Linked DNA regions of Rhinolophus ferrumequinum. The protein of the gene in region 4 purifies or fractionates together with the protein of the main gene of each other region. This does not show direct contact. Links are inferred from orthologs where the notes say so. Each region holds a gene or a part of one and is shown on either strand. Other genes may lie near its edges. The genes, in order: LAMTOR3, LAMTOR1, LAMTOR4 and SLC38A9.

Region 1 (7,388 bases), on a different chromosome or scaffold from region 4:
TCATTCATAATCTTTCTTGCGTGTATCTTCTCTTTCTCTTTCTGATTTTGACATTTACTAGTTATGTGACTTGGAGCAAAATCAACTAACCCTTTTCTCTAAGCCTCAGTTTCATTCTTTGTTGAGAAGGGATAATAACAGAACCTACGTCATAATATTATTTTTAAAGTTTACCGAGAAGATGCATGTTAAGTGATTAGCATATCTGGAAATGGGAAACCCAAATACGTATTAGCTGTAAAATTAGATCACACTTTTCTTACTATTTCACATCCTGTTGCTACTGTTGTGTTCACTTAAGAATATATTATGAACATCTTTCCACATCTATATATATTACATCTTTCTTATATCACTTCAACAATTCTGGGTAAGTTGATTAACTTCTCTGAAATTAAATCTCCTCACTTAAAATATGACAATGTTTGCCAAGTGTTTAGCATGGAACATAATTAACAAAATAAATAGAAGACTATTTTATTTGATCTCTTTATACCTGGGGGATTTCACTGACAATCCAAGTATCAATTAAAGAGCTCTACATAGACAAATCAGATATCTGTGGTTTTGAACCTCTAATCCCTACTATTCTCCAAACCTGAATATTCATTTTATTCCATATTATCACTACCAGTTTACCTTTGCTCTCATTTTAAACACACACAAAAAAACCTCAACTCATCATGTTTCATCTGAAACCCAGATTTCCTCAATCTCTTTTCGTTTTCACTAATGGGACTACCAAACCCATTAATTCAGGTTTGAAACTAAGAGTAATACCTAACCCTAACCTCACGTTTGTCACTTTTAAATCACTTGTGAAGTCAAATGTTTTTAAACCGATCTCTTCTTCTCCTTTTCAACTGACATTACAGTTTATTTTCATTCTATTATTTACGACTTGCACTAGCTTCCTAGTTGGTATGCTGATCTCCCGCATCTATTCCATACAGGTCTACATGGTGTCAATAATCCTATTATTCTCCTTCTCTAAAACTGTAATTGTAGGGATTCTCAACCTTGGCTATGGATAACACGTGAAAAGCTTCAAAAAAAAAAAGGCCACTGTTGACTAGATGGCTAGGTTAGAGGTGCTCCCCAGATTACCACCTATTCAGCCACGGTTGAGAACAAATATTGAAATGGCTCTCCACTGTTCACTGAATTATGTACAAACTCTTTAGACATTTGAGCCTCTACAATATGGCCTACAACTAAGTTTACAGTTCTGCTTCCTACTGCTGTCTCACACAGATCCTCAGCCCTAGCTAAATTAAACTACTCACAGCTCTTCCATACACAACCTTTCCCTTTCCTATGTAATATTGTTCATGCTATTCATTCTACTAGCAATATTCTCCTTCTGAATCTTACTTTTTAAAACTGCTACTCATCATTTAGAGTTAACCTCAACCACCAAACACTCCAAATAGGTTTTCCTGATAGACACAAACCAGATGTAATCCCTCTCTCCTTTGAATTTTCACACAATAATGCATGCATATCTGATCATTTGTCTACTTTTTAAAACTGTAAAACCCCTAAGAGGAATTATACCATAGTCCTCTTCATTTCACCCACAGTCCTTATTATAACAACCTTTTGGCTGCTCAATAGATATTTAGTGATTTGATTATGCCTGAAGGATAATGTCTCAAAAACATAATGGAAGACACCCAAAAATGTAGTGATAAAGGCATGAAAGTTGCTTAATGTTGAAACACATAATCTTGCAACGTAAAAAGAAAAATCAGATTCATATTAATGCTGAATGACTAGCAAAATGGTTAAGTGCACTGACTCTGGAGCCAAAATACCTGGGTTGGTATTTTCACTCTTAGTACTAGAGTAACCTGAGGCAAGTTACTCGATCTTTCTGTGCTTTAGCATCCTTATCTATGACACAGGGATAATGATCATGCCTACCTCCTAAAGCTGAGAATGAGCGTATGTTCAATATTTATAACACTCAGGATGTACGTAAGCAAAGTAACATATGTAAAATATAAACATTAGTACTAGTATTAATTTCCCGCTGTTTCTAGTAACTAGAACAATTAAGTTCCTTAAACTTAGAATCTGGCTTTTACTGCTGTGCTCAAGACTTGTCAGTTGAAAAATCATCTCAAATGGCTCCAATGAACCCAGAAAGACATCATGACCACTTGCTGGGAAAAAAAAGGATTCCAAGCAGCAAAGCACCATTTAGAAATTCAAATGGTAAATATTCGGAGCCTCTTATGCCCGCAGGGCTGTGGAGTGAGCACGGGCACCTAAGTGTCCTACAGGCCCATGCAAGGCACAAACTCACGGCCCCAGGAAATCCATTCATATTAATCTCTAACTCCAGATCTTGGAGACAATAACTCAAGGTGTAGAGGGGCAAAAATAAAACAAATTTCTCTTTGGGAAGCACAATCTTTCCCCACCCAGTATGCTCCAAACTCCCCACCACTTGCTTCCTCTTGTGCGGGGGTGTTAACTCACATCCGCCATGACGAACCCCTTTCTCCCGCAGGTTCAATATCCACGCCTGAAAAAGAAACTCCTGGTGAGGAAATCTGGGTTTCAGCGGGGTCAGCTGTCATCAGGGTCAGGCAAGAATCCGCGGCTCTAGGCCTGGGACCAGAGAGATCGCAGGGAGACACACTGCCCAGATACCCACAAGAACAGCCGGGGTGCCTTACCTCAGCCCACTCCGCCTCCCCAGCCCCCAAGGTCTAAGCCCGAAATAAAGCGGAAGGGGCATCCTCTGCTCTTCCAGCTCACCGCCCGTAACACCCGCGGGCCCAGGCCTGAACACCGAGCAACGTGGCTCCAGTTACCCGGTTTCTGGGCTGCCCGGTTCTTTGGGTCGCAGGGCTCTGGGCTGCCTGCTGTCCTTCAGGGACAGCGTCAAAGACAGGTCTTTCTGAAAGCTGCCGTCACATGACTTACGACCTCCTCTCCGCTTGAAGCAGCACTTCCTACACCTCCAACGCCGGGTACCATGGGATTTCCGGGGACGCGCGGGGGGAACTGGGAGCGTGCGACTGTGCGTCGCACCCCGCCCCACCCCGCCCTCCCGCGGCTCTCCACAGGCTGCCTCGTGCGCCTGCGCAGACACCAGGTGTTGGAGAGAGGTTTCCTGTCAGGTTGCTGCGCTGTAAAGCTCCCCAGGAAAAGCATGTAAGAAGACATTTTTGTGCGGAGAGTGTATGAATTGCCTTAGTATTTCAGAGTCCGTTATCTTAAAACCTGTTCTTTTAGATCAAAGACTTTGAAGCTGAACAGCAAGCACCAGATGACACGTGATTAGAAGTCCCAGCTCCAAAGGTTCCAGACCCCGATTTCTCTTTTGGCTTTCCCGTTTGCCATCGACTCACTGCTCTTTACTCAAGGTTTTGTGTAGATTGAATTGAGGAGCCATCCTGGGTTTTCTGGAGTTCTCAGTTATGTGTGAACTTCAACATATGCAGCTGTTGGGTAACCTTTATTGGCTCCAATTAGAAGGCTGTGCCTGTAAAGACTTTCCATATTGTTTTCTGTTTGGTGTCTTGTGTGCACCTTTAGCAAAAACCTACAGTAGGTGGCAGGTAAATGAGGTCTACAGGAACTTGTTCAACACTGATCTTCAACTCCAATCCCCAACAGGAGTGCAAAAATAAGTAACTAGCTCAAGACACGGTGAAAAGAATTGGATACTTACTTCCTCGTTATTCCTGAGAAGATGAAATGGTAAACTACAAAGCTCCCACATATTACAAATAACTTCATTATTACAAGTGAATTTAACAGTTACGTAGCAACTGACATCACTGAAGACCACTTCCTTTTCCTCATTTAACCCCTTCGATTTCTTAGCTTCTGGGACACTGCTCTTTCTTATTTTAGGTCTTCACTTACTCTAGTTTCCTAACTCTTAAATGATGGCATTTAAAGCTTGTCTGGTTTCTCATCTCTGTTTTTCTAATTCCACAGTGTCCTGAGAATGTGAGTTCTAATTCTGCACCTTTCTTCTGAGTTCTAGGTTCACATTTTCAGCTGCTTGTTGGATGCTGGATAAATATTTCTACATACATACCTTACTGTCAACTCTAATTCAAAAGCTCTAAAGGTTCTCCAATAAATCTGTTCCTCCTGATGTATGTCTGTATTGGTTTCATAATTCTAGTTAGGTGTCACATTTGCTTTCCATCATGTTCTCTTTTCTTTCCTAACCATGATGCTTGCATCTCTATTTTTTCAATTCTTAGTTCACAGCATTTTTCTATTCCGCAAAACTGTATCAATATCTACTTAACGGCCAGATAGACCTTCTTAGAATACACATTACTGCTGCTCAAATCTTTAGTGATATGCCATTGCAGACAATGATAAAGTTTACAATCTTTAATTTGGCACTAACATTCTATTTTACTTCTGAACACATTCTAATGTGAATCCCATATGCTAGCCAAATTACTTACCTCACCCTTCCATCAACATGACTTATTTTCCCACACTGATTCTGTAGGTTACTTTCATCTGAAGTGATTACTTTTCCTGTAGGGGAGGACAAAGTTCCTTCCACCCTCTTAGGTTCTGTGGCTGGGCCTAAGAATAAAACTGACAGATAACAGGAGGCAAATCATACAAATTTATATAGTATTTTTACGTGCACACGGGAGTCTTCAGAAGGAAAATGAAGAAACAAGTCATTAGACCGAAAGCTTATATACGTTTTTACACAGACAATAAATTGTGGGGATGTAACAAGACAAAGGGGCTCAGGGTAGGGGCAGTAAATTGTGGAACAGACACTATTAAATATATGGAGAAACAAATTGGAGGTAAGGGTTATTTTATTAGGTTTGTAGAGGTTCATTTTGGTATCAATCCCCAGTCTCTGGTGATACGAATGTTCTTCTCTTCCTGGTACAGGGAAGGCACCTTTCGTATAGGAAATTTAATGACCAGTTTTAGGGGAAAGAGGGAAGTCAGAAAGCCCTTCATGCACCTATTAGTGCCTTCACGTCAAAATAGTCAATATGCCAAAGTGGCATATTTGGGGTGGGATGTTCTGAACCCCTTCACTCCCTACTTTATTTAAATCTTGTTTCCCTGTAACTCCTTTTCACCCATCAAATTCTCTTGAATGCTACTATATACTACCAAGAATAACTGATAATTTATTTGTACATAGTTATGTCACAGTTTTGGTTTGCTTCACAAAGAGACCATAAAGTATAGAAGGCTGGGTCAGGTTTTACATTTTTCCAGTTTCTCATGTTGCACTCAACAGGCACTCAGGGAACATCTGTGGAATAAAAGTGATTAAAAGAAATCATTAATCCTGGCCCTGACTAAAACTTCTTATTCCCCCGTCACTATTCCCCCACCCAAGTTTAGACACAAGTAAAGATATGAGCTCTAGCAAAACCTTTTAATTTCTGGAAGTGCTACTTTTTATTTTTACAAAATTCACCATCTTAATGACCTTAATAAATGGTAGTTGACCTGGAAAATACTGACTTTTTTTCTTTGAGTGGCAAAAAGGTAGAGCATAGCTTTCCAAAATCTCCAAACATCACTATGTTCTCAAATGGAAAGAAATAATATTTCTGATTTCCAAGAATGGTGGTTTCTGATTATAGCATGTTAATGGAAGAGTTCCTTATGTACTCTGATTGATCTGTTTGCATTTACTCATTAATACCACTGCTGTTAGTTTAGGACTAGGGTAAATATTTACTGGCCTAAAAGATCATCAGCACGATGTACCAGTTTTCCAAAGTGGGTGTACCAGATGATCCCCGAGGTTCAGGAAGAAACTAGTGGAAATGGAGCGCGCGCGTGTGCGTGCGCGCGCACATACACACCCACACACACACAATTTGTATCTCATTCAAATTTTCTATTTTACTATGTACGAGGTCTGACAATTAAGTTCACGAACTCGTCCTAGAAAAAGTGCTACATACCTCATTGTTGAATATCACTATGGTCACCTTCGAAGTACTCCCCTTGGGAAGCTATGCACCAATGCCAGCGCCTAGTCCACCCTTCAAAGCAATTTTAGAACTCTTTCTAGAATAGCCATCAGATCTGTCATAGTATTACCCTTGATGTCCTGAATGTCATCAAAATGTCTTCCTTTCAATATTTCCTTTATCTTCGGGTAAAGAAAGAAGTCATTGGGGGCCAGATCAGTGAGTAGGGAGGGTGTTCCAATACAGTTATTTGTTTCCTGGCTAAAAATTCCCTCCCAGACAGTGCCGTGTGAGCTGGTGCATTGTCGTGATGCAAAAGCCATGAATTGTTGGCGAAAGTTCAGGTCATCTAACTTTTTCAGGCAGCCTTTTCAGCACTTCAAAATAAATAGTAAACTTGGTTAACTGTTTGTCCAGTTGGTGCAAATTCATAATGAATAATCCCTGTGATATCTAAAAAGGTTAGCAACAACATTGCAACAAGTTCACGAACTTAATTGTCATCAGACTTTGTACACATTATATTAGTATATAATTAATAAATACACATTAAAGTTAACTTTATTGGTTATATTAAAGCCTTTGTTTCTGCTTCTCTTCAGCTTCAATTTCTCTTAGCTGTTGCATACAGCAGATATCGCTAATTTTTTTTTATTCTGCTTTCCTATCAAAAAATCAACAGTTATCTGGATTTAGATTGTCTCTACTGACTGTGTGAAAATTCTAGTTGGTATTCAGATTCATGAGAAGTGTCTTGCTGATTCTCCAACATATAAAAATGAGTTTTATCACTTACACTGTTCAAATTGTATGTCCAATTTTTACTCTGGCCGTGGTTTGGGATTTGGCCCAATGAGAATACAATTATAAGTTCATATGCAATAACTTTCTCACCTATACTACCATCTATTGCCATCACACCCTGGACTTGCACAGTCACCTTAGAAATCACTAATTCCCTCCATCTGTAGTTTACATCCAATAGTCAACCAGTGGAATCACTTAACTGTTAACATCTTAAATTCCCTTACCATCTTTAGTGCCTAACAGAGCCCCAAATTTGAATGAGTTAAATGAGTAGTATTGCCCATGCCTATGCTAGGCTGCTGGGTTAAGCTGGAGAAAGTACAACTACGGAGATTATAAATTCTGTCAACAACCTGGAACCTGTAGAAATCTTACTTTTCAACTAATCAGCTGACTCAGTGAAAATGATTCCTTCCAATTGTCTTCATTCTTTCTAAGCCTCTGCTTATCATTCATCCCGCTCCCCCACTTTACATAAACTGCCTATTTCATCAAGAAAATGCAAGCATAATATTGTCCCATTAACACTACAAATCCACCTGCATCTGTACCCATCCTTTGTGCATTCCTTTCTGAAAAAATGCTGGTGGTATCTACTAGCTAAAGTAATTATTTTATCTTTCCAATGGA
Region 2 (7,503 bases), on a different chromosome or scaffold from region 4:
GATGGCTATTGCAGCAGACCTGGGAGATGGATGCAGGCTCCTGACAGAAAAAAATCTCAAATGCTCACCTGCCTTACTGCAGCCCCCAACCAGCTAGGGTCTTCTCTCTCTTGGACGATGGCCTCAGCTACCCCACTGGTCCTCCAGCCCTTCCAGGCTTGCCTCCTTCAGTGTAGTCTTCACACCAGCCACTGGGAATCTTTCTGACAAATCTAACACTATCACTCCCTGGTTCCTAAGATCCTAAAGGCCTCTGGGATTGAACTTGGGATCCTCAGCCTGACATTCATTCATCTTCTTGGACTAATCCTATCCTGTCTTTCCAGTTTCAGCTCTCAGTTTTTCCCATCTGTAGCCTGTACCACAGCCATCCCAAACACTGTGCGCAGGGTCAACCATTCTGCCTGATTCCTTCCTGCTACATTAGTAGTGTATGTAGCTGGCTTTGCCCTTCCCACCCCTATCCTCATCTGCCTGGCCAACTTGAAAGCGATCCTTCTAGGCACAGTTCAATTGCTGCTTCCTCCGGGAGAGACCAGGCAGAAACAACCACCAGGCTTCTGAGAGACCATCTTCTAGGCTCCCGAGAGACCTTTCCTAGAACTTACAGTTTCATTCCCCTTGATTTTTTTAAATTAGATATTTCTAACCTTGGAATTGGATGACTTTTCTTAAATAAGACTCTAAAAGCACTTACTTGTGCTGGGAGCTGGGACTGAGACAAATCCAGGCAGACAGAATCCCTGCCTGGGATGTAGGGGCCATGGTGGGGGAGAAAGGCTCAGACACAGATCATTACAAAGTTCTGGTTATGTCCTGAGCTGGTTATTCCCCTGTGCATTATGCCCCCTTTGAGGCCAGCATCTGTGGCTGATTCATCCCTGTGGCCTAGATCTTCCTCCTCCTCCCCCAGCACCCAGTGCATGCCTGGCACAGGAGGTGGCAATATATGTTGGCTGGATGGAATAACTTTGCCTAGCCCCCTCATTTCCGGACAAGAAAAAAGAGACCCATAGAGGGTCAAGAACTTGCCCAGTTCACCCAGTAAGGCAGTGACAGATCCCAGCTCTTCCTTCACCGTCTTGGGGGTGCTTCCTGGAGCAGAAGGCTAGGCAACACTGACCTTTGACAGGCCCCATGTGGCTCAGGTACTCGCAGTGGCTGCTCCAGTGGTCCAGGGTGGTGAGGATGTGACCGGGGTCCCCAGGCAGGCCGTGGGTGAGCACATAGCTGAAGGCCCGCTCCTCAATCCGCAGCCCTGACAGACAATCTCGGAGGCTCCGCAGCAAGACCGCACGCACGAGCAGTCGGAAATGGTGTCGGTACCGCACCAGCAATGTCACCACCAGTGGCAGGAAGGCCAGCGCGATGGCAGGGGACATGGTCCCTGCCTGCACCCTGGGGTAGAAGGAGGCAGGGAGGGAAACCCACACCTGCCATTTGCCTGTCATTTGTGCAGCCCTTACCAGTAGTAATTATCTCTCTACTTTACAAACCGTGCTCAGAAAGGCTGTCTTTTGTCCGGAGTCACACAGCAGAACCAGGATTTGAATATCCCAAGCCCATGTACTTTCAGGGACTCTATGCAAAATTCAGAACCCAACCCCAAACCTCCTCTTCCCACTTCCAGCTCCTGGTCCCATCTTCACCTTGCTCCCTCTACCCGTTTCCCCTCATCTCTGTTGTCACCCTTCTTCAGGACCCCTTTCACCAGTTCCCCTGAAATATCCTCCTCTCACCCTACCCCCTGCCTGCTTGGTCTCTGACTGATTACCGTGTAACAAAAGCACAGCTTTGCAGTCAGAAACCCCTTTACTGTCACTGCTCTGCCTTAGTAAAAGGCGATCAAAACATTCCATAGGATGTTAGGATGAGATGTCCTCCCCACCCCATGACTTTCCCTCTGCTCTTTCCGCAGGGATGGAAAGAGTCCTTGATTCTTTGTTTTCTAGTTCTATCACTCCTCTCTGCATTCCTCTCTTCTCTCTCAGAATTCCCTTCACACGTATACACACACACACACACACGTACACACACACACACACACACTTGCTCCTCACTCAGCCCTCTTCCCCCCAACCCACTATGAAGGATAATCGCCCTGGACCCTTGTGAGGCTGCTGCTGGTGGTGGGGACTAAAAATGAAAGTCGGAGTATATGAATGGGTGTGAATAGGTGAGTGATGGTGCATTTGAACTGGTGTGCTTGGGAACCCACACTCAAGGGCCCTGCTTACCTGGGCTGGAGGCTCCTGCTTGGGGAAGATCGCAGCATAGGACAGGAGGGGGAGTCTTTGGGGAGTGGGTGGAGAACCCTGAGGCAGGCTGGACTTGCTCTCAATTATTGATGCTGAGGCTGCTGCTGTCACCTGAGACCTGCAGTTCAAGTTACTAGCAGCAGGGCCACGCTGGAGCTGCCTCTTACCCCACAGGGGGCCTCACAGAACTCCCAGGACTCTTGAGTCTTGATTTGAGGAGCATTAGAGCTGTACTGGGTTTGGTGGCCTCCCTTCCCACCCCTTGGATGAAGACATGGGGTACAGGGTGAGCCAAGGTGTTGTGAGCGTCAGCAAGGCTCACAGATTGCGCTGCAGTCTCTTCCTGCAAGTTAGACGGACTAACCCCCGAGAGACTCTCAGAGCCCCAGGACCTACCTGGCACTGACTGAGGCCTCTGAGGTAGCCATGGTTTCTAGCAAGAATTAAGGCAAAAATGCAGGCTTAGTGCCTTTCAATAAGCTCATTTATTCACACAGAAAATGCAGTGGAGGAATGCAATTTAATCATAGCAATATGGCCATAAATACAGCAATAATAATTTAGTAAAGTATTTTGATAATGAACCAGTCCAAGAGTTAATCAGAATCTGGTGCACCGGGTTGCTGGTCCCAGAGGACGGTCTGGCAAAGTTTGGGTCCAAGTCCAAAGTGGAGTGGAGGGTTCGCAGAGCAGAGGAGCAGCGTGTTCACCTCAAGTGAGACCTGCTCACTGAGCTGTCAAAGTCCAGGGTTCTTAAGGAATTCAGTAGAGCCATATGACGTCACCTTATCAGTCCTCACAGCTACTTCCTGGCCATCTGGTACTTGTTTACCTTTTTAGACTTGTTTACTTCTTTAGAATTGTTTACTTCCTTTGACTTGTCCTATCAGTCCATGCAGCAACTGCATGGCCATCTGGTAGTTGTTTACTTGTACAAACAAGTTGTTTATCTTCATGGGTAATTTCCATAACACTCAGTGTCCAAGATGGAGTCACTCTTGCTCATACAAAATGGAGTTACTCTTGCTCACACAAATACCTTATTTTAGGCACTCTACATACAAGGTGGTAGGGAGGTTGTAGTTTACTCATTAATTCCAAATTCAAGTTTTCTCTAAACAAGTGCCAGCGCTTGGGTCACAGAGAAGAGTCAGATCCTGTCCCTGTCCTTCAGGAACTCTATGTTTGGTAGAAGAAACTGATGCGGAAACAGAATGCAATATAATTTGATCACTAGAATGGATGGCCCATGAATACAGGAACTCTTGGCTGTTTTGTGAACTGCTACATATTCAGATAGAACAGTGTGTGACTCATTGCACGTACTCACTAAATATTTGATCCAATAAATGAATGAATAGGGATTAAGCACAGGGGAGCTGGAAATGCCCAGAGAATGGAGTCAGAAAAGGCAATCAGGAGGATATTGTTGTTGTTATTGAGGCAGACCCAGTGGGGAGGAAGACTGCCAAGCCACATGTGCAAACACCAGTAGGTCAGTCAAGAAACTATTTCCCTATGGCTGGTGAGGTATTCCGCCAATCTCTCCAACACCCCTCTGGGCCTGGAGTGGGAGGCAGGTGTTAGGATCTGCATCTTGAATGACAGACTTAGACCTGTGTTCAGGGTTCAAGGGAAGACATAGGATGGTTCTAAAAGAAATACATGGTGAGCTTTGTGTGATTACTGTGCCTGCCATAAAAAGGTAGGAATGAAGAGAAATAGCTGAGGGCAAGATCAGTGAGGTGGCCTCCATCTTCTCTACCAGGATTGAGCTCCATTTCGCTTTGGCTTGCGAAGGTATATAGTCCCTTCTTCCAGTAAGTGTCAGATGCCCAGTCTAAGTTGACAAAAAAGAACTCTGTTGGGCATCACAACCTTCTATGTGCCCCCACCACTCCTGACTTGGCGCTCGACAACTGGGGCCTATGTGTGTGCATCCCACTTGCCCTTAGAATGGCAGTTAGAAGAACACATCATGACGGCGTTTGGTATGAGTTCGCTCAACGGCTCACAAAGGTGATGGGCGACCAAGCGACCAAATAACGCAACTCACACCACAGCCTCTACAAGGCTGCAGCGAAGAACTGGAGCTCAGAGATTGAAGAGGCTTAAATCATGTGGTCCGCCCCTCCCTTTCCTCAAATCACGTGTCTCGCTCTTGTCTTGCAGGGAGCGCCTTCCCATTGGTTGGAGATGATCACGGGGTGGGGGCGGAACCGGAAGCCGGGGTTTCGGTAGCTTCCGAGCGGCCCTGGGAAAGGATAGTTGTGGGGGTGGGTGATTACTTGCTAATTGCTGCCACGGGTCATGTGACCGGAAGGGGTCGTGACGGACGGCGTCCCTCCTCGGCGCGGCCTGAGCGCCCGGCCCGACCCCGGCCATGGGGTGCTGCTACAGCAGCGAGAACGAAGACTCGGACCAGGTGCGGCCGCGGCGGGCGGGGCTCGGGAATGAGGGCTAAGACCCTGGGGCACGGGGCCCACAAAAAAGCCTGCAGAAGAGGGGGAGCCGGACGGCAGGGCTCACTGAGTACGGAGGCCCGGAGGAGACAGATTACAGAGGAGACGCCGGGCCAGGCTCCTACTCCTGTTAAAGCCCAGTTCTCTCTGCACAGTCCCCGCGTTGGGGTATGCGGGCAGCCGCCTATCCTACTCGTTCCCACCTCTTGCTACCTTCAAACCTTTACAGCTTCAAGGATCCTCAGCTTAGGTCCCTGGGAAGCACTCCCTTACCAGCTCCCTGTGCTTGTTAGCGGGCTTGGTGAATCCATTGTAGAGGTGGGTAAGTTGGGGCTCTGAGTTAATTAGTCCCAAGATGCATCAGGAATCTGTATCCTCTCAGTCGCTGGGGTTGGTGAAGGAAGGTCACTGCTCATCTGGGGTCAGAGAAGGCCTCTGGAAGTTGGTAGCATTGAGTTGGTCAGTGAAGGATTTAATAGACACAATGATGACATTGGGACGTCTAGGAAGTTGTTTGGGAAGCAACAAATCGGGTTTAGCTTCAGCTGGATTGGGGTTTGGCTTGCCTAAGTGCAGTCCTTGCTTAGGGCCTGAGGGTTCCTCTAGCTAGTTGGATGCTTGCCCTGGGAATTTGGCTGTAGATCTGATCCCTTTGCAAGAATTAGGCTGGGGAAGCCTGTACAGTTTTAAATTTTCCCTCTTTCTCTTGGTGCAGTCTCACCTCTCAACACACTTTAATCCTGGCCCTGACCACCTGACCTCCTTTCAGGAGAGAGCCCTTTCCAAAGATGAAGTCTTAGCTGTTGGCCATTCACCTTTCTGATCGCCTCTATGCCTGGATTCCACATTTTAACACATACTAGACACAGAGACAGTAAAAAGATTTCAGCAAATAGTCCACAGTCTGGTGGTGGAGGTTGGGTAGATGGACACACAAATGGATCATCGGTACCATCGGTATATCACCGGTACTGGGGAGAATGTCTTTCCCCAGTGACTCACGTGAACCTGTTTTGGGTTAAGGTCTTGGGCTTGGGAAAATGTCATTTGTATGGGAGGCATGGGTGGCTCCTGGGCCTCATTTAATTCTCCAAACACCCAGTGAACACATACTCATATTTCCTCTGCCTTATGTTAGGTATGTGTCATAGCCAATACCTCTCACTTCACCCCAGCCTGTCAAAGAAGGAGACCGTATCCCAGCCTACTGGGAAGGCTGTGGCCCACTGCAGAGTTGTCCCTGAAAGCATAATATGGACCCTTGCAGGGAATGAGTCAAGGGTTAATGCCTGCCTTATGAGAAAGGATACCAGCTTGTGGCTGGAAGAGCTGAGCTTTCTGCTGCTCTCAATTTCCACCTTCCCCTTGATCGGTTCTCACTTCTGTTTCTAACTCCTTGAGATGGTGCTTGATCAGTGCTGGGTGATTTGAGGCCTCATGTGGCAAAAGTCTGCTAACCTAGTCTAGAAGCCATAACCATTCACTATCCCCAAGTCTCTCTTTGAGCTCTTGGGCAGGCCCCTCTCCCCCTCTCTGTCTCTTTGTTACAGTAATAAGAAATGCACAACACATTACAGTTTTCAGAGTCCTTTTACAGTTATCTAATTTGACTCTTGCCAAACATCTGTCATTTAAGTACAGGTTATACGTATTTAAAGGCAAGGAAAAAGTTCAGAGAGGCTAAGTGACTTAGCAAAGGTTACAAAGCTGAGAGCCATAAACAAGGTGTTTTGATGCCAAGCCATGTGCTCTGTCATTGGACCAAGCTGTCTCTTCCAGCTGTGCCCACGGACCAGATGGCTAGTCATGGGCAGGCCCCATGTATGTCTATGCTACGGTAGACAGTGAAACTCTGGCTCTTGGGTTGACATTGACTTAGGGACAAACCTCGGTGTGAAAAACCTCCCCCATGTTCCACTCGCCCTTTGGGGGTGAGGTGATGTTCCAGGGGGTGAGGGCCTCTTCCAGGAATATAGGTCTCAGGAATACAACCTTGTTCTTGAAGAATCCGATAGAAGAGAAACTGCTCTGTCCTGCCAGAAAATCTGTCTGAAGTGGGGATGGAGGAGGATGCACACACAGGAAGCAAACTCAGACTTCATCATGGAGCCAACTTTCCGTAGAGATTCTTAGAGATAGTTTAATCCTTGGCAAACATTTTGTCTTTCTAGCTCTTTATTACTTAGCTTGTGTTTTAGGGAGGGGGGTGTCTAGGAGGTGGGATGTGATGGGACAGAAGCTGTTTCCTGCTGCTGTGAACTGAGGACACTTGGTCAACCCACGACTGAGAAGGAAGAGTCATGCGACAAGGCTGGGCCTGCCTAGGGTGGGGCAGGCTGGGCAGAAGGAAGTGTCCCTCTGCTAGGAGAGTTGCGGAGTTGTGGGCAGGGGAGCTGGGAGCTGCAGTGGAAAGTCTGGTAGGAACTGAGATAAGCCTGAAGTGGAGCAGTGAGGAGTCTGGTGGTCTGGCACTGAAGGTTGGTGAGTCAGCATTCGCCAGGATGGGCCCCTGTTCTTGACTTTGTCCGGGGACCCTCGCTTTTCATGGCTTGGATAGATACCCAGCAGGTCTGCTTACCCATTTTGCAGCTGACACAAGCCAGCAGGGATTTGCAGCGAGTGGGCTCAAAGCAAGGTCTTATCCAGAAAGACAGCTGATTATAACAAGGGACTAAACCTTGCAAGGAGAAATACACACAGAAATATACAGGACCAGGGAGATGTTTGGCCCCAGCTCAGTTCTGGGGATTGTGACTGTCAACGTCGGCTAATAGTAACAAGGC
Region 3 (7,842 bases), about 56 Mb from region 4:
AACGGTGGGGCAGTGGGTGAGCAGAAAGCCTTAGTTCTAGCAGCAGGCCAAGAAAAAGGTGGAAGGAGTTTGCATCTTCCTCATCGCAGAGGCTCATGGACCCAGTACACTTCTGCCCCTCGCCCTTGGCAGGTTCAGACATCAATGGGCTCCCGGCCTCGGTTCTGTCTCTTCACCACAAATACCCTCTGTCCTGACACAGTCACCAGCAGCGTGTGTTCTCCAAAGACCACTGCAAGGGAGACATACCTTCCCCCACCCCGAGAGAGGGAAGGGAACACACAGTTAGTGGAGTGCAGTGGCCTCCATCGGGTCACACACAACCTGGCTGGGATCAAAAGCCAAAGAAATCCGATGGTTCAAGGCTCAGAGTTCTGAGGATGGAAGGTCTCCATTCAATCCCCTTCCTTCTCTTGCTTTTTCATACTTCTGATGCAGTGGTGAATCCCAAAGGGAAGACAGTGGCCAAGGGGAGATGGTGGGAGGTTGGGAGGACATAAGTGTTTTTTCCCCTGAGGAGCGCACCCCACCTCTGGGAGCACCCCACTTCCTATCACCTCCACGAGGGGTGGGGACTAGGGCTCACCTGACAGGCGCTTGAAGGGTATGTTCATGCCATGGTGCAGCCGGAAACCGCAGGCCGTGCTGACCAGCTCAGAGATGGCACTGGCCGCTTGCTCGTCATTCTCGAGATCCCCAGATGACTGCATGAAGATGGAGGAGACAGGATGACAAACATTAGGGAACAGAATTGGCAATTTCGAGGGAACAGTCACTCTGGCTCTAGCATTGGTATTCTCTCCCTCACCAGGTCCTGGCACCCCTCAGGTCACCCCAGTTTTGGAAAAACCTAGAACTTTCCTATGATGTTGCCCCTTGATGCCATCGTTTCTCATCCTTATACTGGGCTTCCCCGATGAGCAGTGACTCTCATCCATTTCTTTACTGACCTTTCCTAATCCCTTGAAACTCGTTATCTCTCCCTGGCCCCACTTATTTGTAAAATCATATTTTCAAAATCAGTCCCCCCCCTACACTGGCTTGTTCAAGGCTGCTTTTCCTTAGTCTTCCCACTTGTTACTCTGTCTGCAGAATCTGAAATAAACATCCCCTTTGCCCTTGAACCCCTCCATATTACCTAGCCCTTGGGTAATGATGTGACAGTGGCCCGGGCTTCCTCTTTTCTGCTGACTGTCACAACTTCTTCCTACCTCTCAATATGGGCCTCTCACTATGTCACTCAGTTTCCTCATCTGTAACTTGGAGACAACGGTACCTTTCTTATGGGCTCGTGAAGGTTACGTGAGATAATATTGGCAAGATGCTTAGAACAGCGCCTAGCAATATACGTTAACTGCTGTTATTCTATGTCAAATCAAACTGAATGGCTAAAGTCAAGCCATCAAAATTCCCCTTACCTCTCCCCCTCCCCAATCAACTTCCTTAATAACTTCCTATTAAGGCACCATCATTCTAGGCTTGCATTCAAAGTCGTACTGGGTGGAAGTACCTCTAGTCATTACCAAGACATACTGAGTCTTTCAATTCTCTTCTCTCCTTGCTGCTCATTGTCACCAGCTCAGTCTCATACCTCAATTTCCGCAGCAGCCTCTGCTTCTGGATCCTGCCCCTTCCAGCCCATCTTCATACTTAATAGAACAATCTTGCTCAACTATTTCATCAGCTCATGTTTCTGTTCAAAAACCCTTCAAAGCTCCTATTATCCTCAAGATTACCCCAAATGTGTTAACTTGGCCTTGAGAGTCCTCCACAATCAGATCTTTCCTTACTATATTCTCTTCCCCTAAACCTTTTCAAATTTTAACACAAATCCACTAATTCAGACAGGCTCATGTCACATTCCCGCAAATACATCCTGCATACTCCTTTTCTGCCTGTTCATAACCATCCATCCTTTAAGCCCAGCTGAATTTTTACCTCCAAGAAGGATTCCTTGTCATAACACAAGTTATATCACGAAGGATTGAATCCTTCATTTTCTGGACTCCTTCAGTAGTCTTTACTACTCACATTGCTTTCAACTTTTAACCTTAAGCCTTGCCTCTAGCTAAATTGAAAAAACTTCTAGAGAGCTAACCCTATATTGTACTAGGGAACAAAATACAAAGCCTCTTTAATAAATACCAAATAAAGACATATTGGAGAATAACCCAGGTAATCATAGTTAGCAACAAACCTGTAGCCAGTTGTCTGACTTTGGTCAAGTTAGTAAACCCTTTTACCTCAGAACAGTTACCACACTACGATTCCAGAGATTTATTTAATTACTGAAAGCTTACTATATGCCAGGCATGATACCAACAGCGGGAAATTAGGCTAAACTGGGCAATGTTACAAGGGATCACCGGGCCATGTGTACTTGGGGGGACCCCCTCCCTTGCCCAGAACGCACCGCCAGCACTGCGCCTTCACTCAGCACCAGGTAACCAAGTTGATCTGGGATGCGCTCCAGCCCCTGGGTCAGTGCAGAAGTCTAGTGTGTAAAGATGCAATCAATGACAAGCATGCTAGGAAGATGGCCCTCGATACTCTTCACTTGCAACCCATCCTCCCATGACAGTACCCGCCCCCCCCCCAGACCCCTTCCCCCAGTCAGGGCCCTTCCAGACCCTCTTACCTCTACATGGCTTTCCACACTCATCTTCCCGCATCTCCATCTGTCCTCACTCTCTGCCTCTGGGCTCCCTCGTTCTTTCACATCCCACCTTTGCTACCACCGGACGCCTTCGCAGCCCCACTGGCCCCTCTCTCCAGCCCCCTCTCCAATTCCCCATGTGGCCCCCCCTCGTCCGCAGACTACTCCCCAGCCCCTGTACACCCTCCCACAGATCGCTCCTCAGCTCTCTACATCGCCATCCCTGCCATCTCCATTCCCTCTCTGTCCGGGACGGAGAGGAGGGGAAGACGAAGTGCGGGCCCAGGAACGGGCACCCAAAGAGATTGGGGAACAAGGGCACGGAACCCCCCAAAGCGTACTCTCGCGCATGCGTCCTCACTCACCATCTCAGCCTTAGGTGCTGGGGAAACACCAGACCAGATAGGTAGCTTCCGGCTCCAGACCCAGGTCACGTGCTTCCACCGGGCGGTCTCCTTCTGCCCTGCGTCTCCGTACTTTAGTCCCGCCCCCAGAACACGGATTGGAGCTTGACTACGTCATCAGACTTAATCTGCCAGTGCGGAAAGCCGGTTTTCCAAGACGCACGCAAACACCCATCTCCCCGCCCCACAACCGCGAGCTCTGGGCGGCAGGGGGGAGTGTTGGCTTAGGGGAAGGCCTAGAGGGGCGGGGCCGGAGGGAGAGGGTGGGCTGAGGCTGTGCGCCTGCGCGCCTAGTGTGTGTGGGAGGGCAACGGGTTCTGCCGGGGTGAGACTGCCCACGGATGTGAGCACAAGCAAGAGAGTAAAATGAAAGGACGTGACGCGCCTGAGAAAAGCTTTTGAAATGCTACTCTTCTGCCTATTCGACACAGCTCTCTGTTTAAGACAGGGATTTGTTCCCTAAAAAGCATTTCCTCACGGGATTTTGTGAGGAAGGGTGTGATGGGAAATTGAGTACCCCGCTGGGCAAGACAGTTTTAATACTGAATATTCTTTGCTAGGAGAAATTAGAAACAATACCTTGGAGTTACTTTTTAATATGTGAGTATCACATTTGATTTCTAAACCGGCTGCAATACTAATGTGACAGGCGGTGTTGGTGTGGGGACAGAGCCCCAAAAAGCAGTTTCCAGGCTCTTGGCCTCACATAGAAAGGTGCTGGCTCAGGTAGTAAATGGCCATCGACTGTGATCAAATGGCCACCAGCTGTGGCTAGTTGGCCGTCAGCTGTAACCAGTGAGCCACTAGCCATGAATATAACTGCCGTGGCTACGCTAGCAGGAAATGGGGGCTAGCAAGAAGATGGGGGCTGAGCCTGCAAGCGGCGCAGTGAGGGTTGAGAATTGTGTGGCTCCTGTTTCCTGTGTCTCCAACCCAGCCGCCAGTGAGAGTATAGTGGTGTGACTCCCCTACCTATGGCTCCGTGGGTGTTCCTTTTTGGCCTCACCATGTCCTGCATTCTTATGTGGGGAGTGGGATCAGAGACACCGCCTGACACCCCGCAGGACACCCCGCACGACAGTTGGTAACTGTGAAATGAAAAACGGAGTCTGTAACTATTAATAGTAAGTACTTGGGGGAGGATGTGGAGAAATTGGAGTCTTCCTACATTGCTGATGGGAATGTAAACTGGTTCAGCTGCTGTGGAAAACATCAGCGGTTCCTGGAAAAGTTAAATACGGAGTTACTTACTGTATGACTTAGCGATTTCACGCCTAGATATATGAGAATTGAAAACATATGTTCACACAAAAACTTGTACACAAATATTTCTAACATCATTATTCATACTACCCTGAGATGGAAACAACTCAAATATCCACAAACTGAAGAATGGATAAATAAAACGTGGCATAGCCATACAAAGGAATTTTTTCTAGCCATAAAAAAGGAATGACGTACTGATACGAGGAGTCATCAAACAATACGGTGAATGTTTAAATAAAAAAAAAACCTATTGCAGTAAAAGACACATTGCCATTCATCCCCCTTAAAATACTCCTCCTCACTTCGAACACATTTATCCCACTGTTCTTGCCACTTTCTGAAGCAGTTCTGGAAGTCTCTATTGTATCTTACCTTCTTCCTCCATCATGACAGTGCTCTGTGTCACACATTGCTTCTGGTAAGGCAATTTCTGTCAAATAAAAACATTGTGCAGCCGGCCCAGTGGCTCAGGCGGTTAGAGCTCCATGCTCCTAACTCCGAAGGCTGCCGGTTCAATTCCCACATGGCCCAGTGGGCTCTCAACCACAAGGTTGCCAGTTCAATTCCTCGAGTCCCGCAAGGGATGGTGGGCTGCGCCCCCTGCAACTAGAAAATGGCAACTGGACCTGGAGCTGAGCTGCGCCCTCCACAACTAAGACTGAAAGGACAACAACTTGAAGCTGAACGGCACCCTCCACAACTAAAATCGAAAGGACAACAACTTGACTTGGAAAAAAGGCCTGGAAGTACACACTGTTCCCCAATAAAAGTCCTGTTCCCCTTCCCCAATAAAATCTTTAAAACAAAAACAAAAACAAAAAACATTGTGTCCTCATCCACCTTACTCACCAGATCTGGCACTGTACAACTTCTGGCTCTTCCGCAGAGTCAAAATGATTATGAAAGGTAAATGTTTTGAATCGATTCAGGACATTGGGCATCGAGGCAGCCACAACAGTGCAACTGAAGACACTGTGGGGACAGAGTCCCAGAGAGCAGTTTCCAGGCTCTCGGCCTCACGTGGAAAGGTGCTGGCTCGGGTAGTAGATGGCCATCAGCTGTGACTAGTTGGCCATCAGCTGTAACCAGTTAGCCATTAGCCACTAATATAACTGCCCATGGCTATGCTAGGTTGGTTGGTTGGCAAAGAGAAGTAGACGGCAGGTTGTGGATCGTGTGGCTCCTGCTTCCTGTGTCTAACCCAGCCGCTGTCGAGACTATAGTGGTATGACTCCTCTATCCATGGCTCCATTGGTGTTGCTTTTTGGCCTCACCATATCCTGCATTCTTGTGTGGGGAGCAGGACCAGAGTCCCTGCATGACAGACACTCACGAAAGAGGACTTCCAGAACTGCTTCCGAATGTGGCAAGAATGATGCCATAAGTGTGTTTGAAGCAAAGCGTAGTATTTTGAGGGGGATTAATGGCAATGTGTCTTTTCCTGTAATAATTTTCTTAAATTTAAACACCGTATTGTTTGATCAGACCTTGTACATGATACAACATGGATAAACATTGAAAACATGCTAAGTGAAAGAAATCAGACACAAGGCCGCAAATTTTATGATTCTCTTCATGTGAAATGTCTAGACTAGGCAAATCCATAGAGACAGAAAGCAGATTAGTAATTGCTAGGGTCTGGGGGAGAGAGTAATGGGGAGTGATTGCTAATGTGTCGGGGGTTTCTTTTTGGGTGACGAAAATGTTCTGGAATTATATAGTGATGATGATTGCACAAACTTGTGAATGTAATAACAATTGAATTGTACACTTTAAAATGGTGAATTTTACTGTATGTGAATTATATCTCAATAAAATAAAACTGTGTACTGTTTCTTGAGGGGAAAGCTAATTAGAGAAGATGGGTGCCCTTTTAAAAATGAGGTATGTTTATAATATAAAATTTAAACTGGAGGAGGACATAGAGAGAAAGAATTTTGCGGAGATGCTTAATTTGCAAAGCCTTCCCTGGATTTAAGATATTGATGACAGTTTGTAACATCATTTTTTTGCACTTACTGTTCAGAGTATTTTCATCCATGCACTCATTTACCTTCATGTTAACTGCCCTGTAATAGTATCCCCATTTTGCAGATGAGGAAGTGGAAACTTGAGAGAGGTTGAGCCTTGCTCATAAGGACACAGCTGAAAAGTGACAGAGCCAGATTCCAGTCTAAGTTTGCTGACGGTGAGGCTGATGCTTTTTCTATTGCTCCCTGGGCCAACTACATTTAGTATTATTTTTAAGCTACATTTAATATTACCTCAGAATGTCTGCACTCATTTTTCTCAACACAGAGGAACGCTTAGCAGGACAAAGCTCATCAGCCATCATTAAAATTATTTCATTTTCACAAACAGCTTGAATCATACTAATCCTGTAGAGAGCCAGGTTTCTCATTCTTTCATTCAATGAGTGTTAATTGAGCACTCTTCTTGGAATTGAAGGTACAATAGTGAATAAAAACAAGACTTTTTTTTGTTTTGTTTTCAAGAAGCTGTGAGGGAGAGGGTAAGCCAGACAATCAATCAATCAATCAATCAATCAGAAAATAAATGTTAATTGGTGAGAAGTGCTACGAAGAAAAATACAGAAGAGTTCCATTTACACTAAGTTGAAAAACATGAAAAACAAAATAATGTATTATTTAGGGAGATACATATGTTTGTTTGTTCGTTTTTTGAACTTTGATTTATTTTAAGTGTGTTTTTCCAGGACCCATCAGCTCCAAGTCAAGTAGTTGTTTCAATCTAGTTGTGGAGGGCACAGCTCACAGTGGCCTATGTGGGGATCGAACTGGCAACCTTGTTGTTAAGAGCACCGAGCTCTAACCAACTGAGCTAACCACCTGCCCCAATACATGTTTATATATATATATATATATATACACAATAGGGATGTATGAGAGATGACAATTAAATTCGCGAACTCCTCCTACAAAAAGTGCTACATACCTCATTGCTGAATATCATTACGGTCACCTTCAAAGTACTCTCCTTGGGAAACTATGCACCGACTCCAGTGCCTAGTCAACCCTCAAAGCAATTTTGGAACTCTTTTTCTGGAATGGCCATCAGAGCTGTCATCGTATTACCCTTGATATCCTGAATGTCATCAAAATGTCTTCCTTTCAATATTTATTTCCTTTATCTTCAGGTAAAGAAAGAAGTCAGATCAGGTGAGTAGGGAGGATGTTCCAATACAGTTATTTGTTAACTGGCTAAAAACTCTCTTACGGACAGTGCTGTGTGAGCTGGTGCATTGTTGTGATGCAAGAGCCATGAATTGTTGGCGAAAAGTTCAGGTCGTTTTTGTCTAACTTTTTCATGCAACCTTTTCAGCACTTCCAAATAGTAAACTTGGTTAACTGTTTGTCCAGTTGGTACAAATTCATAATGAATAATCCCTCTGATATCAAAAAAGGTTAGCAACATCGTTTTGATTCTTGATGGAACTTTTTTGGTTGTGGAGAATTGGCTGACTTCCATTGTGCACTTTGACACTTTGTTTCAGTG
Region 4 (7,049 bases):
ATTTCTAGTAATAAAACAGATTAGGCTATTTGGACCTATTTTTCTGCATAAAACAAAAAATACTGGATAAAATATAAAAAAACATCTTTTGAAAAGCTTCAAAAATAGTGAGAAAAATCAGGCCATTTGCAGGTAAAGTCAAGGAACCTAGAGAGGTAAATAGCTCAAGGAAGTTTCTTCTGCTCTGAAGGTATTTTCTGTACCAGGAGAAATTGGGCTGAGGTTTTCAAGGCCTTGTGAAGTATTAGGGAAATAGAAGACAAAACCTGGGATTCACTCAAAGTAAGGAATGATTATAAGAAATCACCCCTACTTCCCATAATTTGGCTGGGACTACATAGAGCTTTACCATTAGATTAGGGGTTAACAAGTAAAAGTGCCTCACTACCTCACAAGGGAACTACAAACAAGTTTTCTTGACAATGACCATAGCATGTGCGTGCATGTGTGTGTATGCCTGTGTGTATGTGTGGTGGGGGAAATGGTATATACCACAAACTGCACCTCATCTGGATTTGCAAGGCAGTTAAAAGAACACATAAATCTGTGAATATAATTTAAGGCTCATTTGCTTGGTAGAGCTTCTAGGTAACGGGCAGAAGCAAATGTAAATCTTTTCAGTAAGGACACACCTTCATCCTAGTCCTCAAAGAAGAACTTGCTGACAATCTTTTAAGGACAATAAACAGTATACAGTCCAAAGTCACCTAGCATGTAAAGAAATAAAATACTGTTAGTGAGAACCAGAAGAAACAACTGTAGAATGATCCACAAGGACTTTAACTATAGGAATTAATCAGAATAAAATTATAAAACAATTACGCTTCTTATGTTTAAATAAAAGAAAAAGAGGACATTTTCAAAAAGTAACTGAGGATGTTTGAAAATCACGAAAGTGAATTTTTAGGCCAAAAATTTAAAAAAATAAACAAATACAATAGCTAATATTTTAAACTCAATGAATGGGTTTAAAAGTTGAAAATTAATGAACTAAAAGATTAAATCAGAAGAAATTATCCAGAATGTGGCAGAGAGAGGAAAAAAAAGAAAGGCTGAAACCGTGGAAGAGAGGTATGAAAGAGGGGAGATAATATGAGATCTAACATGTATGTAACTGGAGAACCAGAAAGAGAGAAGTGGCAAAGGTAATATTTGAAGAGATAATGGCTGACAAATTTCTAGAATTTATAAAAGATAACAATCTGCAGATTCAAGAAATTTACTGAATCCAAGCAGAATGAATAAACGTTATAAGACTAGAAAAAAAGTTAAAATTCCAGACCAAAGGGAAAAAAAGTCATAGGAAGGTCTTGGAATTAACGTGTTCGAAGGCCCTTGTATTGTCCAGGTCAACATTACACTTTGATGTGATGCATGTTGTAATTTTAAAGGTAACTACTAACACTATAGAAAACAGTGTATCATTAAAATCTAGTAGAGGGGGAAAAGAGAATGCTAAAAATTGACCTAAAAAAGGGCAAGAAAGGAGAAAAAAAAAACATAAAAGAGGAAGCATAAAATAGAGAAGATACAAAGTAGAAAGCATAAAATAGAGAAGATTCTCCCATTCTCTCTTAAGACCATGCTAATCAGGGTATCTTCCTCATCCCTACACAAAAACTGCTCTTGTTAGGTCACCAATGACCTCCAGATGGGTAAACCCAAGGGTCATTTCCCAAGTTTTAACTTACTCTCCCTATCAGAAATATTTGCCACAAGGGATCACTCGCTAATAAACTAAATTCACTAGGGCTCTGAGTTTTCTTTACATACTCTGGTCCCTCCTCTTCCTCCTCTGTTTCCTTCACTGTTTGGTCCATATCTCCCAGACTTCTTAAAATTGCAGAGTCCCAAAGTTCAGTGTTGGTCCTCTTCTCTACTTACCATATTTATTAGAATGGAGAAAGTTTAAGTGGTTTAGATAGATCAAACCAGTCACAACATTCCCATAAATCAAAGCCTAATCCAGAGCAAGGCCCTGATTCTCTTCAATTCTATGAAGGCTAAGAGAGGTAAGAAAACTGCAGAACAAAAGTCTGAAGTTAGCAGAGGTTGGTTTATGAGGTTTAAGGAAAGAAGCCGTCTCCATAACATAAAAGTACAAGGTGAAGCAAGTGCTGACATAGAAGCTGCCGCAAAGTATCCAGAAGATCTAGCTAAGACAAGTGATGAAGGTTACACTAAACAACAGATTTTTCAATGTAGATGAAACAGCCTTATAGTGGAAGAAGATGCCATCTAGGACTTTCATAGCTAGAGAGGAGAAAGCAATACCTGGCTTCAAAGCTTCAAAGGACAGGCTGACTCTCGTGCGAGCGGCTAATGTAACTGGTGGTGACTTTAAGTTGAAATCAGTGCTCATTTACCATTCTAAAAATCCAAGGATCCTTAAGAATTATGCTAAATCTACTCTGTGCTCTACAAAGAGAACAAAGACTGGATAACAGCACATCTGTTTACAACAAGGTTTACCAAATATTTTGAGCCTACTGTTCAGATCCACCACTCAGAAATATATGATTCTTTTCAAAATATTACTGCTCATTGACAAAGCACCCAGTAACCAAGAGCTCTGATGGAGATGTATAAGATTAATGTTGTTTTCATGCCTGCTAACACAATATCCATTCTGCAGCCCATGATCAAGGAGTAATTTCCACTATTCCATGCGTTTCACCAAAGAACTTCCCCGAGTGACAGCCGGCTGGCTGCAAGCTGAGCTCTTCCGCTGCAAGCTCAGCTCTTCCTCCGCTTCCCTTTGGTTCTCTCCGCTCCCTCCCGAGGCTACTTGCAAGACCAGGGAACGTGCTCTACCTAAGTAGACCAAGCCCTCAGTTTCCGAGAAGTCGGCAAGAAGGTGGAAAATCCTTTCCATATCCTCTTAACTTACCGCAGCCGGGCTTCTTGTCCCCTGATCAGGAAGAGGCAACAGTCTAGGCCGCGATGGCCGGCGGGGAATGGAGTTCTGAGAGCGTTTAGCCAGCCGCCACTGTCAAACCTCCCGGCGCTGCAGACTACAACTCCCGGTGGCCTCTGCGACAGACAACACGCCCCTCTCTGCAGAGCCCAGCCTTTGGTCATTGAGAAGATGGTCAGCGCAGGTGAGCAAGTCTCTCCTGATCTGCCGCCTGATTTCCGGCCAGTGTCGGATGCCTGCCTGAGACTCTAAGGCATCTGGAAGGAGGGACACTGTAGCCTGCAGTCCTTACAGCCCCGGAAGCCACATGAGAAAGGGCTGATGTGGCATTATCATCTAGGGATGACCTCTCATTATCTGTTTCTCTTCCCAGGTTTGCCTGGCTGTTCTGTACTCTCATCACGTGATTGAACCCTATGGACACCAAGGGAAGCTGGTTTGAAAAAAATGTGTTGGGTTGGCCCTCTTCCTCCCTTGTCTAGACAGTTTTCTTTTTTTTCCTTTTAAATGTGTTGGCAAACCAATCTCTAGGCTAAAAAAAGGAGCTGTGGGAGGATTTTAGCACCCTCTGCCCATCCTTAGCCATTTCTCCCAAAGCCAACCCAAATAAACAATCTAAGTAATGTTAATGTGCGTATACATAAAAGTGCATTTTTGACTTAACGATATTTTCAACTTACTATGGGTTTATTGGGACGTAACCCCATTGTAAGTTGAGGAGCATCTGTATTGCCTGTAAGACAGATAAAAGTTATTTTGCTGATTAGGTTTCCTTATTGAAAAATGTTTGCAACTGCTCCTTGGCCTGCCCTCAAATCATCAGTACATTTTTTGAGAGCTTCCGTGATAGCAAAATTTTTTATTTCTCTGCATTCCAGGCCGAGAAAATAATTTTAGGCAAGGCTGAGATGCACAGAAGTAAATGGTATGGAGTGACATCACTGAAAATGGCAGAGTAGGGAATTTGAAAACTGTCCCTCTGTAAAAGCAACAAATAAGCTGGCAAAATTGCCAGAATCAACTTTTTTTTTTTTTTTTTTAGCTCTGGAATCTAATTTAAAAAACTTAACAACAGCCAGGGGAACATTTAAGACAAGACGGATGAATTTTGGTAAGAGAGCTCTGTGATCATTTCCTACTCTCCAGCTTGGAAGTGGCCTTCACGACAGCAGCCCATATTCTTGGTGTAGTTTGCTGATACCAAGGAAAGCAATATGGACCTTATTCTCAAGGAATTGTAATTATGTGTTTTAACTTATCTGGTGGTTCCTCAAAGGTTTGGCTGAGGGTTTTGTTTTGTTTTGCCTGCCTTAGAGCCTCCCCAGGGCTAAGGCAGCTGCCCAGGCAGTGTTTGTTGAAAGCATGTAAAGCAAATGTATTAGCCACTGCCAGCAGAGGCAAAGTATAACAATCAGAGCAAGCAATAAACAGACCAGAAAGTTCAGGAAGGATGAGGTGAGAGAAGCAGCTACTTGAAGAAATAAGGGTTTTGAAAAGCTCCCTGCTATTCTGGGGAATCCAGAAGGCCATATGCATACCCTGGTCTGGACACATGCTCAGAAAACACCTGAAAAGACCTAAGTTCTCACCTCTGGCTGACCTTCAGGCTCTGTGAAGACAGGAAGTAAAGGCTAAGGCAGAGTTGTACACTGTTTGGCTCAGCATTGAAGGAGTGCCCCAAAATATAGCTAACTGGCAAAGAATGGGAGAAATATTTTTGCGTTCGGCTTTTTTTTTTTTTTTTTTGCTTCTAGGTATTTAATAAAGACACTAGCTGACCACTAGGTTGATGGAACAGAGACTTCAATGGCCACAAAACACAGAATACAGACTTCATAAAATTAGTAGAGTGGTAGTCAAGTTTAGAACCTTGATCGTATTCAAACTTAGTTTTTTAGATCAAGCCTTATAGGTGGTGTTTTGTACTTCCTATATCACATCAGGTCTTTCATTTGTGATATTGAGACTGTACATTGGGCTCAAATATTGTCTCTTACAAAATTCCTCTTCAGTTTTTCACCAGCCATTGATCATTTGCTAGATCACAGTTTTATGTTACCCTCTGAGTTTCAGTAATTTTTTTTTTCAGTATCCTTAGTTTCTGTTTACTAAGTAGTTAGGTCCAAACAAATTAATATGTATTTTTGTCCTAACAACTTAGTAGCCATTTAAATACACACACACTCACACACACACACACATTGAAAAAAATACTTTATTTCATTCTTAACCACAATTGCTTACTAATGGGGTGTGTACACCTGTTGGGCACTGTATAACTTCTCAAACCTTGAAATCAGATGGGACACCACTATCCTCATTTCCTGTTTCACATTGGATTTGGCACAACACTTGCTTGAGATCATAGGAACTGCTGAAAATTCAACTTTTCAAAGGTATCATGTTATCCAAAAGAATTAACTTCATCTAATGCTGAAACTGTGAATAACCTCAAGCTAGTCATTCACCTGGTGTCTGACAGATGTTGCTGTGTTTTTCTCAAAAATTTAAAATACTCTGGCATCCCTGTGAGTTTCCTGTAGTCTCACAGTTTGGGAGGTGTATGTCACTAGCCATTATTTTCCTGGTCTAGAGAAAGAATTGGCAAACTTTTCCTGTAAAGGGCCCAATAGTAAATATTTTAGGCCTTGTGGCTGTATGGTCTCTGTCAACAGTTACTCAATTTTGCCTTTATGGTATAAGTACAGCCAAAATAGACAACATGTAAACAAATGGGGTGGCTGTACTTAAGTTTATTTATAGAAACAGTTATTGGGTTGGACAAACAGCTATTTGTCTTCAGGATCATAGTTTCCTGATCCCTGGCCTACAGGATACAGAGTGGAGATTTTCATTAATTAGCTGGAATTTTTCTAAGGAAGAGACTTTTCCCTGAACAACTTTGTTACCCCAAATGCAGTATAAACACTTGTCTATTTGTTTGTTTTCTTTTGCCAGTTTTCAAAATGAGTTGGTTGCCTAGCGTCTTGCAAAGGTGACCAATGGAGGGTTTATTGTTTTAGTGGTTCTTTTGGTATTTTGTTTGTTGTTATTTTTTTTTTTTTGTATTTTTATGACCTCACAGAGTTTAAAAATATCTTTGATGTGTTTCAATCCTTTGAAGATATATATATATATTTAAATTATAAATAATTTCAAGCTTACAAAAAAGTTTCAAAAAATAGCACAAGGAACTCCCATATAACCTTTATTTAGTGTTATCAAGTGACATTATTTTGCCATATTTGTTTTATCATTTTTTCTCTCCCTTCCTCCCTCTTTCTCTTCCTCCTTTTCTCTGTCTCCTCCCTCTACACACACACACACACACACACACACACACACACACACTTTTCCCTAATCATTTGAGATTAGGTTGTGGACAATATGCCTTCTCCTGAATTCTTCACTATATATTTCCTAAGAACAAGGATTTTCATAGTACGGTGAGCAAAATTAGAACTTTTAAAAACTTACACAATGCTCTTACTCAATCTACAGACCTTGCTCAAATTTCACCAACTCTTCCAAATATGTCCTTTATAGGAATTTTCTTGTCTCATCCAGAGCCCTACATATGATTGATCATGCATTGCATTTAGTCTTCATGTCTCCTTAGGCTCCTTAAATTTGGAATGGATTCTTAAGCCTTTCTTTCTCTTTTATGATGCTGACATTTTTGAAGAATATAGGTCATTTAGTAGAAAGTACCTCAATTTGAATTTTATCCAATGTTTCCTCATGATTAGATTCAAGTTATGCATTTTTTGCAGGAATAATACATGAATATTGTAGTGTCTTTCTCACTGCATCACATCAAGAGGCACATGATGTTGACTGATGTTAAAGGTTCTAGTACCAATTCCAGCATGGGGGATGGGGAGATGGTGTTTTCACACCACCAAGCAATTCTTGGACACCAGCTGGCTGTCCTACACTTTAACTCAATTCTAACACTATCTACCTGCAGATAGCATCAGATCCACAGGTTAAGGGTTCAGTCCTACAAAAATCCCCCCCCACTTTCATCCTCTATTTTAGATGTCAATTGAAAGTCCAAGATGTCACCTGTGATTCTGACCTACCAGCTACTATCTGAGGTTGCCATGACCCGCTCCGTGGGTTCTATTAC

The links.
Region 1: the proteins of SLC38A9 (region 4) and LAMTOR3 purify together in Homo sapiens (affinity purification with mass spectrometry; 3 studies listed by BioGRID and IntAct, with this or other methods). This does not show direct contact. The link is inferred for Rhinolophus ferrumequinum from reciprocal best matches to the Homo sapiens genes SLC38A9 and LAMTOR3.
Region 2: the proteins of SLC38A9 (region 4) and LAMTOR1 purify together in Homo sapiens (co-immunoprecipitation; 5 studies listed by BioGRID and IntAct, with this or other methods). This does not show direct contact. The link is inferred for Rhinolophus ferrumequinum from reciprocal best matches to the Homo sapiens genes SLC38A9 and LAMTOR1.
Region 3: the proteins of SLC38A9 (region 4) and LAMTOR4 purify together in Homo sapiens (affinity purification with mass spectrometry; 4 studies listed by BioGRID and IntAct, with this or other methods). This does not show direct contact. The link is inferred for Rhinolophus ferrumequinum from reciprocal best matches to the Homo sapiens genes SLC38A9 and LAMTOR4.

The regions. Positions count from the first base shown.
Region 1 is NC_046288.1:51,294,654-51,302,041, forward strand, and holds the start of LAMTOR3 (ragulator complex protein LAMTOR3), read right to left. Parts: upstream 3,010-7,388; 5' UTR 2,826-3,009; intron 2,795-2,825; exon of another isoform or gene 2,688-2,794; intron 2,534-2,687; 5' UTR 2,497-2,533; coding exon 2,488-2,496; intron 1-2,487. UniProt on the Homo sapiens protein: As part of the Ragulator complex it is involved in amino acid sensing and activation of mTORC1, a signaling complex promoting cell growth in response to growth factors, energy levels, and amino acids.
Region 2 is NC_046294.1:47,696,598-47,704,100, reverse strand, and holds the start of LAMTOR1 (ragulator complex protein LAMTOR1), read left to right. Parts: upstream 1-4,486; 5' UTR 4,487-4,641; coding exon 4,642-4,683; intron 4,684-4,693; exon of another isoform or gene 4,694-5,155; intron 5,156-5,729; exon of another isoform or gene 5,730-7,503. Other genes in the region: transmembrane O-methyltransferase homolog, read right to left, coding at 1,124-1,398, 2,238-2,255. UniProt on the Homo sapiens protein: Key component of the Ragulator complex, a multiprotein complex involved in amino acid sensing and activation of mTORC1, a signaling complex promoting cell growth in response to growth factors, energy levels, and amino acids.
Region 3 is NC_046290.1:90,639,228-90,647,069, reverse strand, and holds the start of LAMTOR4 (ragulator complex protein LAMTOR4), read right to left. Parts: upstream 3,009-7,842; 5' UTR 2,663-3,008; coding exon 2,639-2,662; intron 2,495-2,638; coding exon 2,414-2,494; intron 705-2,413; coding exon 587-704; intron 250-586; coding exon of another isoform or gene 233-249; coding exon 135-232; 3' UTR 1-134. UniProt on the Homo sapiens protein: As part of the Ragulator complex it is involved in amino acid sensing and activation of mTORC1, a signaling complex promoting cell growth in response to growth factors, energy levels, and amino acids.
Region 4 is NC_046290.1:34,663,395-34,670,443, forward strand, and holds the start of SLC38A9 (sodium-coupled neutral amino acid transporter 9), read right to left. Parts: upstream 3,006-7,049; 5' UTR 2,891-3,005; intron 708-2,890; exon of another isoform or gene 633-707; intron 1-632.